Linked DNA regions of Astyanax mexicanus. The protein of the gene in region 2 binds, or shares a complex with, the protein of the main gene of each other region. Links are inferred from orthologs where the notes say so. Each region holds a gene or a part of one and is shown on either strand. Other genes may lie near its edges.

Region 1 (8,054 bases), on a different chromosome or scaffold from region 2:
TTGGACACACCTTCTCATTTAGTGTTTTTAATTTTTGTATTTCTTTTCTACGTTGTAAATTAATACTTAATAAAAGTCATTCAGACTATGAAGGAAGTGAAGCATTTAGGTGCTCTTATCTGGGGAGCTGTTAACTTGTGGTGGTGAGACTGGTAACTTTGATGAACTTATCCTGTACAACAGAGGTAACTCTTGCTCCTTCTGTCCTGGGGCAGTTCTGATCAGTTTCATTATAACATTTTTAAGGTCTTTGCAACTGCACTTACGGATACATTTAGTTCCTAAAAAGTTCTTAAAAATATAGTATCATTTTATAAAATCCACTGACATGCCAAAAGTCATGGGACAATAACTAAGAACTAGTCTCATGTTCCATGGAAGGTAAAGAGTGCCAACCTCACTCCAACTCCCATAATTCACTTGGCCTTACCTTGAGCAAGCTGACCAGTGTTCCCAAGCCAGCTGTCTCCTGAGGTCACACTTCATGGTCATATGCATGATATACATTGATTTATACTGCTGTCCTATGACTTTGTCATTGTACTTTGTATGCATGTTTGTTTCTTTTATCCAAATTATGAAATATATATAATTTTTTTTTTTATTTCATGTTAGATCGGAAGATGGTCAGCCTCCGGAGATGTTTGATAATCCTCTTTATGGCTCGATGGGAAAATCCCAAAGTAGTAAGGATCAGGAGAATCCCCGAAAAGCCCACCTTACCCCTCCAGAAATTTTTGCGTTTCCCAAACCCCCAGATACCGACAATGACCGCCCCCCTCCTGTCCCAACGCCCCGCAACCGCTCCTACACCTGCTCCGACAGCAAACCGTCTTCCCCCGCCTCCACCACCACCGCCAGCATCGGCAGCAACAACAGCCTGCAGCCTCAGTCCTACTCCAAGAAGCCTGTGGTGCCCTCTCGCTCTGACGCGGGCATGATGGCAGCTGGGAAGCCTCCTCTGCCAATGAAGTTCCGCCCCGGCCAACCGGACTCCCAGCCCCAGCCCCAGCCTCAGCCTAAACCCCGGGACTACAGAGACACAGCAGAGTTACCCAGCAAGATACGACTGCCTACAAGACTCGTCCAACCACTGCCGAAGGATGGTATGATGCAATAACTGAGCATTTATTGTACATTACAATTTATTTGATGAATTTAGCAAATAAGAGAAGAATATAGTCCTTCTGGTGGTGGTGTATAAGGTGTTAGTGTGTGTTGTGCTGGTACAGTGAGTGGATCAGATGCAGCAGTGCTGCTGGAGTTTTTAAACACTGTGTTTAATCTCTCACTGTCCTCCACTCTATTACACACTCCTACCTACAGCTGCTCCACCCTGTAGATAAAGTAAAGTCAGAGACTGAAGATCTGAATCTGTTTCTGCACAGTTTACAGTGTTGATCATCCTCTAGTCCTTTATCAGTGCACACAGGATGCTGCCGACAGGACAGTATCAGTAGACTTTTCTCAGTCTATAGTGATACTGAGGTGTTTATAAACTCCAGCAGCACTGCTGTATATGGTCCACTGTACCAGCACAACATACACTAATATCTCATACACCACCATCATAATGCCATAACGACCCACCACCCAAATAATAATAATAGCTGTGTATAAATACCACTGCTACTACAACTAATAAAAATAATATTAAAAATGCTGATTTCTCTCTATTTACAGGACATCATGAGACTCCACAGCTTTCCAAGATGGGTCGCCAGCTGAAATAGATCTCTACATTTTTCTCCTCTGAAACAATGTTATTCTTACTGTACAATCCCACCCAAGTCACACAACATTTCAGATGCAAAAAAAAAACAAAACCAAGAAGCCTAGAGAATCCTCGCTTATCTGATCTTCCTGATATCCCACTCTGATCTTGCACAAATGTTTTTTGAAAATGTTTTTTGTTTGTTTTTTGTGAATGTACAGCTGTTTTATCTGCTTTTATTTTGGGGGGATTTTGTTGCATGGTGCATCATGATACGCAGCACTTGTTTATCACAAAGACAGAAAGATAATATCCAGATTATGTCAGGATAGTTTGTTCAGTTCCCTCTTGGCTATGGTAAACTGGACCACTGGACAAGGTGTTTAGAAACCACACAGAAAACAGAAAGGTTCTAAAGATTATTTGGTTCTGTGCAAAACTGGAACTTAAGCTCTATCCGGATGGGATTAGTTTCTCAGGGGGTCCTGGGGTAATTTTCTCTTTTATGGGGGGGTCCTCTGTGATTTTATTCCCATCCGGAACGACCAAGTATGTGAAAGTTGCAGGCTGAATAACCTACTGGTTTTTGCTGAACTCTGTGGTCCTCTGTGGTAATTGTATTCCTGTCCGGCTGCACATCCCCTCCGGATAGGGCTTAAGTAATAATAAATAGGGTTGCACCGAAAAATTTAACTAAACAAATCATTTGACTGAATTTTTTTTTCACGTTTTTAAACTTTTTAAAATGTTTTAAACCTGTCAAAAACAGGCACCGCATATTGACAGATGCAGAAGCTTCATGACCCATGAGATTCTAACAGTACTACATTAACTTAAAGCCATATAGAGACACAGAAAGCTACAGTACATCACATGTAATACTGAGTTATCTCAGCTAATGTTACTATCCTAGCCCTGTACAGCTCATATATGTCAGCTGGAAAACAGATAGTTTGTAAATAAATGGTGAACTGAGTAAACTTATAGTGAGTGTAACAAGTTAGTGAGTGTAACAAGTTTGTCTCTCCCCGTCGGCTCTCTCCCTCACTCTCTGCACTGTGTACAGCAGTGCTCTGATGTACAATGCTATTGTGTGGGCCTCCTGGAGGAAACCCGGCAATACCAATACTTTTTTTTGCCATTTTTAGCTAAATAATTAAATTTTGCAGAACATTTGGTGCATCCCTAATTATTACTGATATGTAGTAATGATGACTGATCCTAAGCTATGGTACACTGGACCATTCACCATGTGTTCCCAGACTGAGTCTTGGTAGAAACTACACAGAAAATTGCAGCTCTAAAGTTTTGTGGTAAAGTGGAACCAAGTAATGATAATATTTATAGAAATTATTAGTCCTGCAGAGAATCCTCTATTAATATCCACTGTTAATAATTCACCCACTTTCCAGCAGCTGTGATCAGTTCAGTTCTCCATTGGTTACCTTCTGCATTGAAATGTTGCATTAAAATCATAAGAAATGTGTCTGTTTGTCTGCTGTCTGTTTCCCCTTTTAGCTTTCTGCTGCTAATGATAACTTGGGACGGTAAAGCATTTTCCACTTTATAATCTTGACATACTTTCTCACACTTAAAAGAGATTTTGGAAGATTGTTAATTAGTACTATATACTGTACCCCCCTTATCCCTGCTGTAATTCCTGTGTGATTTTTAACTTTATTTATCAAAATATTTATATTTTAAATCTAGTTTCTGCTAATTTTGTATTAATTATTTACATATAAAAAATGAGGATAAATTGAGGGCACTTGAGGATACTCTCAAAGTTGTTGAAATGTTTCAGATTGACTGACCTTCATCACCTTCAGTATTTTTTTCTTTAATTACTTGAGTAGTTCTTGCCATAATACGAATTAGAACATTACTCATATAGTGCTATTCACTGTATACCAACTCTACCTCTTGCTCTCAAACACATTAAGAGTCAAGAAATTCAAGTAATTAACTTTTTCTATCAGTATGTTCTTACATACATCAATTGTAACTCATTACAATAATTGTTTAACAAGGTTAACTAAAAGAAGAAAACAGGAAAAATATAAATTACACCCCACACGCACACTCCTATACCCACAAAGGTCAGGCAAGAACAAAATAATATACATTCATAAATAAATGTTACTTAAAAAATGTGAATGTATTATTAATAAACAAGGTATGCATACATATAAACAAGGGAAAATTCTGCACTACTTTGCACAAGCACATTAAGGTTATTAATTACTTCATACATCAATTCTTATTTAGTAATATAGGTAGTGAAAAATTTCCCCCTGAACTGCTTTGAATATCTTAAACTTTGTCTTAAATTAAAGAGAATCTTTTCAGATATAACATTTTCCATAGTTTTCCATAGTTTTTGCATTTTAATGCAGTTTAATGAACCTAATGTTAGATTATGCCTAGCTCATGCCTAGCAGGGTCAGCTGTGGGCTCAAAAAGTAATTACCTCTTGAGGACACACAGCTGAGACTCTTAAAAAGTCTCCCTCATAAAGCCGACTGGGAAATTGGAGAGATGTGCAAAGCTGACATTTAAGCAAGAGGTTGCTAAAATATAAAACATATTCTGGTTTGCTTAATACTTTTTTGTTTTTACAGATTGGATGATTTTAATATTAATCTACGATGCAGATACATTTACAAATATTTTAAAGCGAGAATATTTAACTATTTTTTGTTGTACTTATAATAAATCGTAAAAATGGTCATTGTATCTAATTTCATGGATCATTTGTGTACATTAAAAGTAACCAACCAGATACATGATTAAATACTTAAAATAAATAATATAAACTCATAATGTTGTTTTTACTGAAACCTTTAAAGAAAAAAAGCGAAATTAAACTTGTTTAGACGATTTACGTAAAAGCCGGAATGGTGAGGGATTACTGTGACAATGCCGCCACCTGCTGGTGAGAACAGGATCACTACCAATAGCGCTGAATTCAGAAAAAGAAGTTTAACAAAAAACAAATCAAAATATAATCAAAATCTGGTTTATAATTTAATAAATTAAATTAATAAATAATTCTTCATCAATACAGCAATAACCCCCTTCCCAATTTATCACAAACTAACTAAAGTCACCGACACCTGCCCGACATTTTATTTTATAACTATATGAGTTAAAATAAAACTACATATTTATTTATTATTATTATATTCATCCTAAATTTGGCTAGCCCTCAAAAATGACTTTGGACCAACTGTTTTTTAGACATGAAGAGAAAAATACATCTTAAATTATTTTTGTGATTCTCTTATTTTGAAATCCTCAGATAAGCCTCACATGAATGGCGACAGCAGAGTCAACCAATAAGCATCGAGGATAAATCTGCGGCTAATTAACCTGACCAATAGCGAAGCAGCTTGCTCAGGTGTAGGATTCTACGGGCACAAAGAGCGCGTGAAGATGGTGAGTTTATTTTATTTTAGTTTAATGTTTATATTTATCTGTTTAAAGCGCAGAGACGGGGTTTTACACAGTTATAGATGTTCTAAAAGTGTTTAAATGTGAGTGGTTTAGGCTTAGTAGTGCTGTAACACTGTAACTTAGTCGTTATTAGCCTGTGTTTGTGTTCAGCTGTAAGTCAGTCCATTAAACCGGTTTAATTTTATATTTAATCAGAAATCCATGCTCTGCTTTTTATGTGGAGGAATTTTAGAAACTCAGCGACAACCTGTAACTAATATTCCACACTTTTAACCTACTCTAACCTACATACAGTACCAGACACACCTCTTCTTATTAAGTGTGTTTTCTTTCTTTTTAGAAATTTTTTACGTTGTAAATTTAATATTATAAAGACTATATTCAAGCGGTACAGGATCACATGCAGAATAAATAAACAAAAAGTGTTAAACAAACCAGAATATGTTTTATACTTCAGACTTTTTAAACTCGCAAATTGATTTCAGTTTAGCACATCTAGGATAGATCTGCACACTCTTTGTATTTTAATCTCAGTGTCTTCATGAGGGAGAGTCACCTGGAATAGTTTTCTCAGCGTCTTGAAGGAGTTTCTGGAGGTGCTGAACAATAGTTGCTGCTTTTTCTTCACGCTGTAAAGCTCCAGCTCAAATCACAGTCTCAGTTGGTCAGGTTTAGATTAGGGGATTGAGGAGGACTAATAGTTTGTATAGTGCCATAATAGTTTTCATATCTTTAATGTTAATCTACAATGTAGAAAATAAGTAAAGCGAGAAATTAAGAAAAACCCAGAATCAGAAGGTGTGTGCAAACCTTTGACTGGTACTTTACATAATTAAATACATAATTTCGTGCATGCGTGCGTGTAAACCCACTGGTGATTCAATTACTTATTTTTTTTTTTTTACAGAAAAATGCATTAAATAATCCTGTCCTTCAGTAAAAAGAGCTAAAGCAGGCTTTTTAAAAATAGAGTTAGAAGTAAAGTACTAAAGTATTTAACTAGTATAGTATACTGATCTTCACAAACAAATGTATTAACATAATTAGAATAAATCTGTTTAAGTGTAAACATAATAGACCTGCTATTCTTTTTAAGTATCTCAAAAAGGGTATTAAAAGTATTTTAATTTCTTAAAGTAATAACAGAACGACTAATTGTTGTTTGGCTAGGAGTACTTTAACCTTTTGTGTAATGATGTTATGTTATTATTATTATTATTATTTTATATATATATATATATATATATATATATATATATATATATATATATATATATATATATATATATATATATATTTATTATTATTATTATTATTATTATTATTATTTTTATTTTAATTTTTTTTACAGCTTTTCTACTCATTCTTCAAGTCCCTGGTGGGTAAAGACGTGGTGGTGGAGCTAAAAAATGACCTGAGGTGAGTGAAGTGCATTGTGTCCTGTCGACTCATACTTAAATTTAGTCTCATGGTTAATTAAACAATTTACCTTTTGATAGCAGTTAATAGAGGATGGTTTTAATAAAGGTTAGATGGTATACAGTGCTGGAGTTAACCAGTTTGGCATAGACTCTTATGCTGCTTTCATCACACAGACTGGAGAGTTGGACTTATATGCCCACCTATGAAATAAATAAATAATGTATATATATATATATATATATATATATATATATATATATATATATATATATATATATATATATATATATATATTTTTTTTTTTTTATTACTATTATTATATATATAATTTTTTTTTATTATTATTTATTTATTGGAGACTACACAGCTTACAAGATTGTTTGAATGGTTCTGAAATGTTAAAGGCACAAAGCATTGTAAATGTGTTTAAAACCATTTTATACAAGATATTAAAATAAAAAATACTGTTACATATCACACCTGATGCACAGGTTACCATCTGCCTGTAATTACTAAATTACATATATATTTTTGTCAATTTAAATACACTGGGCACTGTGGTTTTAGTGTAAGGGTATACTTAAGTAAAGTGCATTAAGTAATGGGCCATTTTAGTACCAGAGTTCTGTGTATTGTGAACATGTGAAAATGCATAGAATGACTTGAGTTTAGTTGAGTTTCCTTGGCCTGTTTACTAACTTTAAAATTGTGTAAACATTGCAGCATATGTGGCACACTTCACTCTGTAGATCAGGTATGTAAAACTATGCAATATTCTATATTTGCCGTTTTTAATGTTGGCCTCTGTTTGTAATGAAACTGTTGTTTTTTTTTGTTTTTTTGCAGTATCTGAACATCAAACTCACAGACATCAGCGTCACTGATCCAGAGAAGTACCCACACATGGTGAGAAACACTTACTGCTGGCAGTGGATTAATCCAGTGTCCTGTAGGGCTGGATTTAGCCTTTTCATACAGCCTTCATCTGCACTGTTGCTGTAACTGTTAATTTAGGGTTAGTAAGTGTGTTTGAGCAGAGTAGTGCAGTATGTGCGGGATGCAGTCCTTCTGTTCCCCACCCCTTGATTAAACCATGGCCTGACTTGTGATGCTGTGCATTTTTACCTCCCCTTATTTAAAATATAGAAGAGATTTTGTTTGGGGGAAATAATAGAAACGGTGTGTTCCATCCATCCACCTACTCACCCACCCATTTATTAAAAATGTGAGATTGCACTTTTTGATAATTCATATCCTTACCTTCAAAAATTGTACCAAAAGAAAAAAAAAACAAAAACATATGGAGTGGTCCACATAGAAGAACTAAATCTACTGGTACATTACTTTTAAAATATACAATGACATCTAGTGGTTGTTAGTAGACTAACAACTAAATTCTTCTCTGCCTTCAGTGACACCCTTTTAACTACTGGATATATTATTCTGTATGTTTGTCTCTGCC
Region 2 (7,842 bases):
TGAAGAGCAAAATTATTTGCCCAAACTGACTATCAATTTGTTGTCACAATAATATATATATATTTTTTTGCGTTCGTCCCACTGGCATGGCTGGGAGCCATTTTGATTATATTAACACCACATTAGTGTACCCTGTCTTCAGGTGGAGAGAAACCCTAACATTTGTTGACAGTAACTTGTCTGCAGATGATTGAGAGACATAACTGTCTCATTTGTTTTGTATCAGTGTCCTCGAATTACCAGTTGCCCTTCCATTACTATGAGTACAGTGGGGTTGGATTCAGAGCTATAACTTGTGATTATTTTAGAAGTCGACTGTTGATTCTTTTTTTGTCAATTTGTCAATTTTTTTTTCCTGCCATGCTCTCCATCTTTGCTTCCAGTGGGTATGCAGGTATACCTCCTGTTCATACCTTTCTCTATCGCTTTAAAATTACACAAAAAGCTGAATGTGGGACAAATGCCCTTTAAATGTTTTAAAGACATTATGCGGAAATATGTTGATATGTATCTGTTGTGCCTGTCATTTTTGGTAAACATGGTGAGTGAATAGTCCTAATTCCTTTTCCAATCAGAGATGTATAAAGTACAAGAAAATAAATCATTTGAGTAGAATTTGAAGTGTTCTTTAAGCACCACACTTAAGTAGAAGTACTAAAGAACAGTTTTTGGACTTAATTATTGCAAGCACAAAAGTACTGAAACTAAAATACAAATAGTGTTATGTAGTTATTACGGCAAGCAGTTGAAAGTTTTTATAAAAAAAGCTTGATTGCTTGATTCACTCAATGATGAGGCAGCTTCATCAATCCTGGTGACAGTGTTGTGTGTCTACCGCTCTGGCTTTAGTGATAATGTGGGTTTGGAACAATCTGTAACTTTTTGTAATTGTAAAGAGCAACGATGCAGCACTTAAAAAAATGATCCGAGTAAAAGTACCTAACTTATCAAAAATATGTAGTGAAATAAAAGTGTAAGAAGAAAAAAAAATACTCCAGCAGATACAGATACCACATTTACTACTTAAATACAGTAGTTAAGCAATTCAACTTTTTTACTATACATCTCTGCCTCCAATAGGTTTCTATGGCCAGCATTTTGTATATAGTGCATATCAGACAATTGTTTATATTTGACACTGTCAATAAAGTCGACTAATTGTTGCAGTCCTTGTTAAGTCCTTGTTTCAAAAACTGAGCTCAGTTTTTGAAACAAGTGATTGTCAAGCAATCTCACTGTCGCAGACAAATTTCCAGTCGGGTTACAATCACGAGTCTTGCTAGAGTGAAGCTGTAGTCCAGTTGTTATAGCATTCAGTTTAAGTGGATTGAAAGTTGTAATTAGTCTATTTGGAGTCCTGCATTCAGATCAAATCAACCGTGTTTAATATTATCACATATCTTGAGACATGGCTCACGCAAATAGTGAGGTGAACAATGTCAACAACCAATAACAGAAGAGCTATGGGAAGCCGCAAGGCATGAATATTTTACATGACTGTTCATAAAAGACATGAAGAACAAGACATTTTGCAGTTAATATGCCTTATATGGTTCTTACTTTAATAAGTACAGTATTTTAAAACACAGGTAGCACTTTAGTCATTATTTTTTAAAGTTATTTCATTTTGCACTACTTATAATTAATAAATACACATCTTGCAAGAATGATGATCTTTATGGCAAAAATAGGGCAGAAGAAGCTTACAGGCAGAGTTGAACACAAAATGTGTTTTATTAAAAAAATATAAAGAACTAACAGTGTTGCAGAAAAAGAAACTGTTGATGGGCACAAACATTGTGAGTCTCTAATAAATCACAGTATCGATGAGCACATTGTTTGTAGATTAATATGCAATATGTACTGTATATAAGGTCCACCAGAAAAAATATAGTTGCAGTTTTGCAATTACTGACCCCCAGTCTTTGCAAAATCTTAACATGTCAGTAAAAAGTATGTGAGTAAAAAGTCTGTGATTAGTCTTTAGAGGTGCGAGGGTGTCAGACTTTAGACTGTTAAGTCTTTTCAAAGTCGTGTAGTGTCTGGACAGCATAAACCATTCTGGTGTCAAACAGACCGCAAAAAACATGTGTGCACAAATTGTGTACCAGGACATTTACAATACATCATGCTAACCTAGATAGTTTAAAGCTCACTCGACTATAATCATAAATTTAGTAAAATACATTAAACATTACGCACAAACATGACGTCAACCATTTTTTTGCAGACTTAAAAGATCTAACAAAGATAGTAACGTCTCTGAAACATCTATCATTGAATAGATAAGAAAATAACACACATACTAAGCCCACACAGCTCTCTCACTGATAAAATATGGATAAAGGAACTGGCTCTAATCCAAGTAACCTACGTAGCTTCGCTAAAGCTTATTGGGTTAGTTCTGACTGATTAGCCACAGTACAGGACCAACACTTATGATATAAATCGCATAATTGGAGTCTACGTTGATGCGTTTTATATAATAAAACACCGTGTAGGTTTCTCTGTGTGTTTTTGAAAAACAAAAATCCCCTCCAGGCCTAGAAAACATAACTAAGCTACAAATTCAGCTGCTAGCCTGCTGTTAGCTAGCATAGCTAACCTAGATACCAAACACTGGGCTGGGCTGTTATTAGCTTACATAGCTAGCGTTAAGGAGTTCGCTAAACTACTGTGGTTAGCAGCTCAGTACTGCTGGTAAAGCGAATATAACTAATTAAATAGTGCAATTAATTAATACCACAGGCGATATTAAAGAAGAGTAATATCGCTTTAGGGAGAGAGGTCTCGTGTTGTTCAGGCTAAGCTAACATTAGCTAACAGTCATCCACGCTTCAAACTCCCGCTACTGTTTAATACAGAGGATTTCACACACTTACCAGCTAATTCCTCTCAGTTATCGATTCCGCCCTAAGTGCAGCGGTGTAATATTAAACGCTCCGTGAACTACAGCCCGCGTTTAGCGCAGGACAGCTCTAAAACAGTAGAAATGTTTCTCCAACTTTCCAACAGCCGCTTCGCACACAAAACGTTGTGTCAGTCGGAAACGGAGACGCAGCGATTCCGCTCAGAGAACTCGCACCTCGCCCCCTGCCGCTGTGGCGCCGCACTATTATCAGTACAGAGGGGAACAGTACTAGTGTGTCTAGAATAAATCCTAGAATATCATTGAAAATTACTTTATTTTAGTAATGCAGTTCAAAATGTGAAACGCACACAGAGTGATCTATTTTAAGTGTTTAGTTATTTTATTGCTGATGATTATGGTGTAATTACGGTGCATGGCAATGGACAAATAGCTATTTTGTTCAAGGCTTGGTCAGAGGTGTCCAAACATTTTTTGTTGGGGGCCAGAAATAGAAATATATTTGAAGTCACGGGCCACACTCTGTAATAAAACAAATAATGAAATATATCACTTTAAATAATATTTTTTTCCTGATTATTTAATTTAAACTCCATTTTACTTGACTTACTATCTTTATCTTTGACAGTGTTGTGTAAACTAGGATTTTCCAAATTGATGTTTAATTTCATGATGTCTCTTAATATTAAACTCCTTAATTACGGCAACTTTTAGACTCTTTGGCCCGTTTTTCTGCGCTAGGAATGCGCACCCTCTCCGCTTTTACACATATTGGCCAGTTTTTCTGCGCTAGAAATGCACACTCTCTCCGCTTTTAGACTCTTTGGCCCGTTTTTCTGCGCTCGAAATGCGCACTCTCTCCGCTTCTAGACTCTTTGGCCCGCTTTTCTGTGCTAGAAATGCGCACTCTCTCTGCTTTTAGACTCTTTGGCCCGATTTTCTGCGCTACAAATGCGCACCCTCTCCGCTTTTAGACTCTTTTGCCCCGTTTTTCTGCGCTAGAAATGCGCACCCTCTTCGCTTTTAGACTCTTTTGCCCCGTTTTTCTTCGCTAGAAATGTGCACCCTCTCCGCTTTTAGACTCTTTTGCCCATTTTTCTGCTCAAGAAATGCGCACCCTCTCTGCTTTTAGACTCTTTTGACCGTTTCTGACACCTAGCGTTCAAACTTTAAATCTCACATTATAAAAACCTGCTTAACAGCGGGCCAACTTTTATTCTATTTCTAAAATACCTCGCGGGCCGCTCCAAAAAAGGAAACGGGCCGCAAATGGCCCGCGGGCCGTAGTTTGGACACCCCTGGGCTAGGTGATTTAAGATTGCAGTAGAAAACAGATTACCCATAATCCCTGCAAAAAGCATTGAATTCAACCACAGGTTAAAATGACATGGCAGGTTTTCACACGTTTTGTGGTCCAGCTACCAGGAAGTGCTGGAGCATTGTGATGCCAACATACACCAGGCAATTTCTTCTGCTTATTTATTATCATATTACAGTACAATCAAAAGACCCAATTATAATAGTTTAATAGGACCTCATAAGCAGCATGACTCAGTTAAAATAAAGAATAATGTCAAATAAATAAAGAATGAAATAGATTAAAACATATTTAAAACATAATCAGAGAAATGTATTTTGTTATATACTCTATACTGTGACGGAGCCCCAGATCTGTACTTAACAGTCAGATCTGTGGTTGGGCCCTCTGACGACTGTTCTTAAAAACCGGTAAGCTCTGTTATTCTTACATATACAGTCTCTTTAACTTAACAGATTCTCTAACCGCACATATATTACCAGTCTCGCTAACCACAAATTCTTTTTCTATTATTTTTTTCTGTGTATATTTGTGATAGAGCCCCAGCTCTGCACTAAACAGTCAGATCTGTGGTTGCGCAGTCTGACAACTGTTCACACAGACTGGCTTTGTTACTATTGTTATCTAATCAGTCTCTCCAACTAACAGACTCTCTAACCACACACATACTCTAATTAATCTCGCTAACCAAAGATTTCTCGTTCTGTCATTTTTGTTGTTCTTTTGTGTGTATCTGTAATGGAAGACCAGCTCTGCAGTAAACAGTCAGATCTGTGGTTGGGCCGCCTGAAGACTATTTACAAAAACTGGCAATTTGCAAAAGCTCTGTTACCATTGTTACCTATATCCTAACCAGTCTCAGTAACGCAGATTTCTCTTTCTATATTTCTTTTTTGTTCTTCTTCAGTTTTTTTGCAGATTTAGCAAGTTTTCCACCTACAAAGAATGGAGAGGTTTGTATTTTCTATTGCAGGTACACTTGTACTGTGAAAATAACACACTAAATGATTTTTAAATAATTAATTTGCATTTCATTGCATAAAATAAGTTTTTGAGAACATATTAACCAGCAAGATTTCTCACTTTCACAGACCTGTTCTTTTTCTTTGCACTCATTACCTGTATTAATAGGCTAGTATTAATTCCTCAGTAGTAAGCATTGAGGAGGGGTTAAGAGGGCATTGTGAAGTACTACAGGTGAGGATGGGCTAAATAAATAGTAAAAATTATTTGTTTCCTTAGAATCATTTAGAATTCATCCTTAGGGTTAAGGTAGGGTTAACAGAGTGATAAACCTTTCTTTCTAGGGTTGAGGGAAAATTATTAGTAACAATTATTGTGATTATTAATAATGAGGATAAGTTGAATATAGCAGCAGGAATTTCTCCATAGGTTTAGGGAAGGGTGGATAGGATTGTATGAATTCCTTAGCATAAAATTTAGACACAACGCTGAATTCCAATAATCAATTCCACAAATCGTCCACTAGTGTGCAGTCGAGCTCTTGCAGGAGATTGCTTCACTGAGTATAGAAAAGTCCTTGTGAGTGAGTCCTTGGCTTTATGAATAAATTTGGCTTCTTACTTTCGTAGTAAACACGCCTAGTGACTCTCAATAGATTTTAGCAGCACATGGGAGCACGTGAGATCAACCAATTAATCTGCTGCACATTCATCATTCATTCCACCCCTCCCTCTGTCTTCCTCTGATGTGGGTCATGTGGTAGCAGTAGTAGTAGTGTGAGCCCCGGGCTATGCTCCTCATTCTGCTGAATTTTACACTCCTCCCCTCTTTATACACATACTGCGGGATTTATCTTTTACAACACCACACCAGGCCCACTCCTCACCCCCTCTAGTGTACTCTACCCAGTAACTAACTAATATACCACACTACATACTGTACCACACCACAATGTAGTGTCCATACTGTTTTAAGATTTGTCACAAAAAAGTAAACATAATGAACATGTCCAGCACATCATGCTCGACTGATGGTAACGGACTATTTCTTATAGATTCCGTTAAAGAGTAAGGAAACTTTGTAAGATTATGAGACAAAGATTCTAAAAATAAATAAACAGAATAACAATCAAATGATTCAAATTGTGGCTGAGCCAAAACACTCCTTACTTCTTATATGAATGGACAGAGTTACAATGGATTTTATGACTTCACAAAAACATAAGAGTTTAAAATGGTCTGTTGGTGCAATTTTGGCTACATCCGCACTGTTCATAATAATTTGCAAACAACAAATCCAATTTGCCTGTAATCTGAGCATAGCTTAAGTTTTTATATAGAATGAATTTAGTGCAAAATAGAGTTTAAATGGACTGAGAAAAAACAGTTTGTTTAAAAAAGTAGGTAATACAGAAGACAAGCAACAAACAGGGTTCCTAACCAAATTCTGCAGCTGCTTTCTCTCCCTTTCCCCTTTCTCCTTCTCTAAATCTCCCTCCCTCCCTCTCTGGGTGCTGGGTTAATGACTGGCAGTGTGGACAGATCGCGTGTGTGTGGAGGGTTTTGGTTGGGCACAGGCACTGCATCAGTCTACACCCTTCCCCCACTCACTCAAATTCAACCCAGCCCAATTCCTCCCCACATAATATGCTGCCAAATCCTCACCAAGCACACCATACATCGCAATGTCAGTTCCTCACCACATTAACCACACAATACGCTGCCAATTCTTCACAAAGCTTAACATACACTGCACTGCTAATTCCTCACCAAGCTCACCACATAATGCACTCCCAAACCCTCACAAAGCTCACCATATAATGTACTGGCAGTTCCTCACCACTCGCTGCCATTTTCTCACCAAGCTCACTATACAGAACAGTGCCATTTACTCACCACATAAACCACATAACACACTGCCAAGTCGTCTCCAAGCTCACCATACAAAACACTGCCAATTCCTCACCACATTAACCCCATAACACGCTGCCAACTTCTCTCCAAGCTCATCATACACAACACTGCCAATTTCTCACCACATTAACCAAACAGCACACTGCCGTTTACTCTCCAAGCTCATTATATAACACACTGCCAATTCTGCACCAAGCTCACCAAACAAAACACTGCCAATTCCTTACCACATTCACCATACAAAACACTGCCAATTCCTCACCAAGCTCACCATACAGCACACTGCCAATTCCTCACCACATTAACCACATAACACGCTGCCAACTCCTCTTCAAGCTCACAATACAACACACTGCCGATTCCTCACCAAGCTCACCATATAACACACTGCCAATTCCTCACCACATTAACAACATAACACGCTGCCGACTCCTCTCTAAGCTTACCATACAAAACACTGCCAATTCCTCACTAAGCTTACCATACAACACACTGCCAATTCCTTACCAGCTTTACCATACAACACACTGCCGATTCCTCACCAAGCTCACCATACAACACACTGCCAATTCCTCACCACAATAACCACATAACACAATGCCAACTCTTCTCAAAGCTCACTATACAACACACTGCCAATTCCTCACCAACCTTAGCATACAAAACACTGCCAACTCATCACCAAGCTCACCATACAACACATTGCCAATTCCTCACCAAGCTCACAATACAAAACACTGCCTCACCAGAATAACCACACAGCACACTGCCGTTTACTC

What was found. Proteins that work in one complex are often made in the same cells at the same time.
Region 1: prpf3 (region 2) and smx5 share a complex: the UniProt entries of both Homo sapiens proteins name them as parts of the precatalytic spliceosome. The link is inferred for Astyanax mexicanus from reciprocal best matches to the Homo sapiens genes PRPF3 and LSM2.

What each region holds. Positions count from the first base shown.
Region 1 is NC_064412.1:47,970,595-47,978,648, reverse strand, and holds the start of smx5 (smx5), read left to right. Parts: upstream 1-5,050; 5' UTR 5,051-5,149; coding exon 5,150-5,152; intron 5,153-6,521; coding exon 6,522-6,589; intron 6,590-7,315; coding exon 7,316-7,346; intron 7,347-7,438; coding exon 7,439-7,498; intron 7,499-8,054. Other genes in the region: inpp5d (phosphatidylinositol 3,4,5-trisphosphate 5-phosphatase 1), read left to right, coding at 616-1,106, 1,684-1,733. UniProt on the Homo sapiens protein: Plays a role in pre-mRNA splicing as component of the U4/U6-U5 tri-snRNP complex that is involved in spliceosome assembly, and as component of the precatalytic spliceosome (spliceosome B complex).
Region 2 is NC_064413.1:15,653,854-15,661,695, reverse strand, and holds the start of prpf3 (U4/U6 small nuclear ribonucleoprotein Prp3), read right to left. Parts: upstream 3,057-7,842; 5' UTR 2,883-3,056; intron 1-2,882. UniProt on the Homo sapiens protein: Plays a role in pre-mRNA splicing as component of the U4/U6-U5 tri-snRNP complex that is involved in spliceosome assembly, and as component of the precatalytic spliceosome (spliceosome B complex).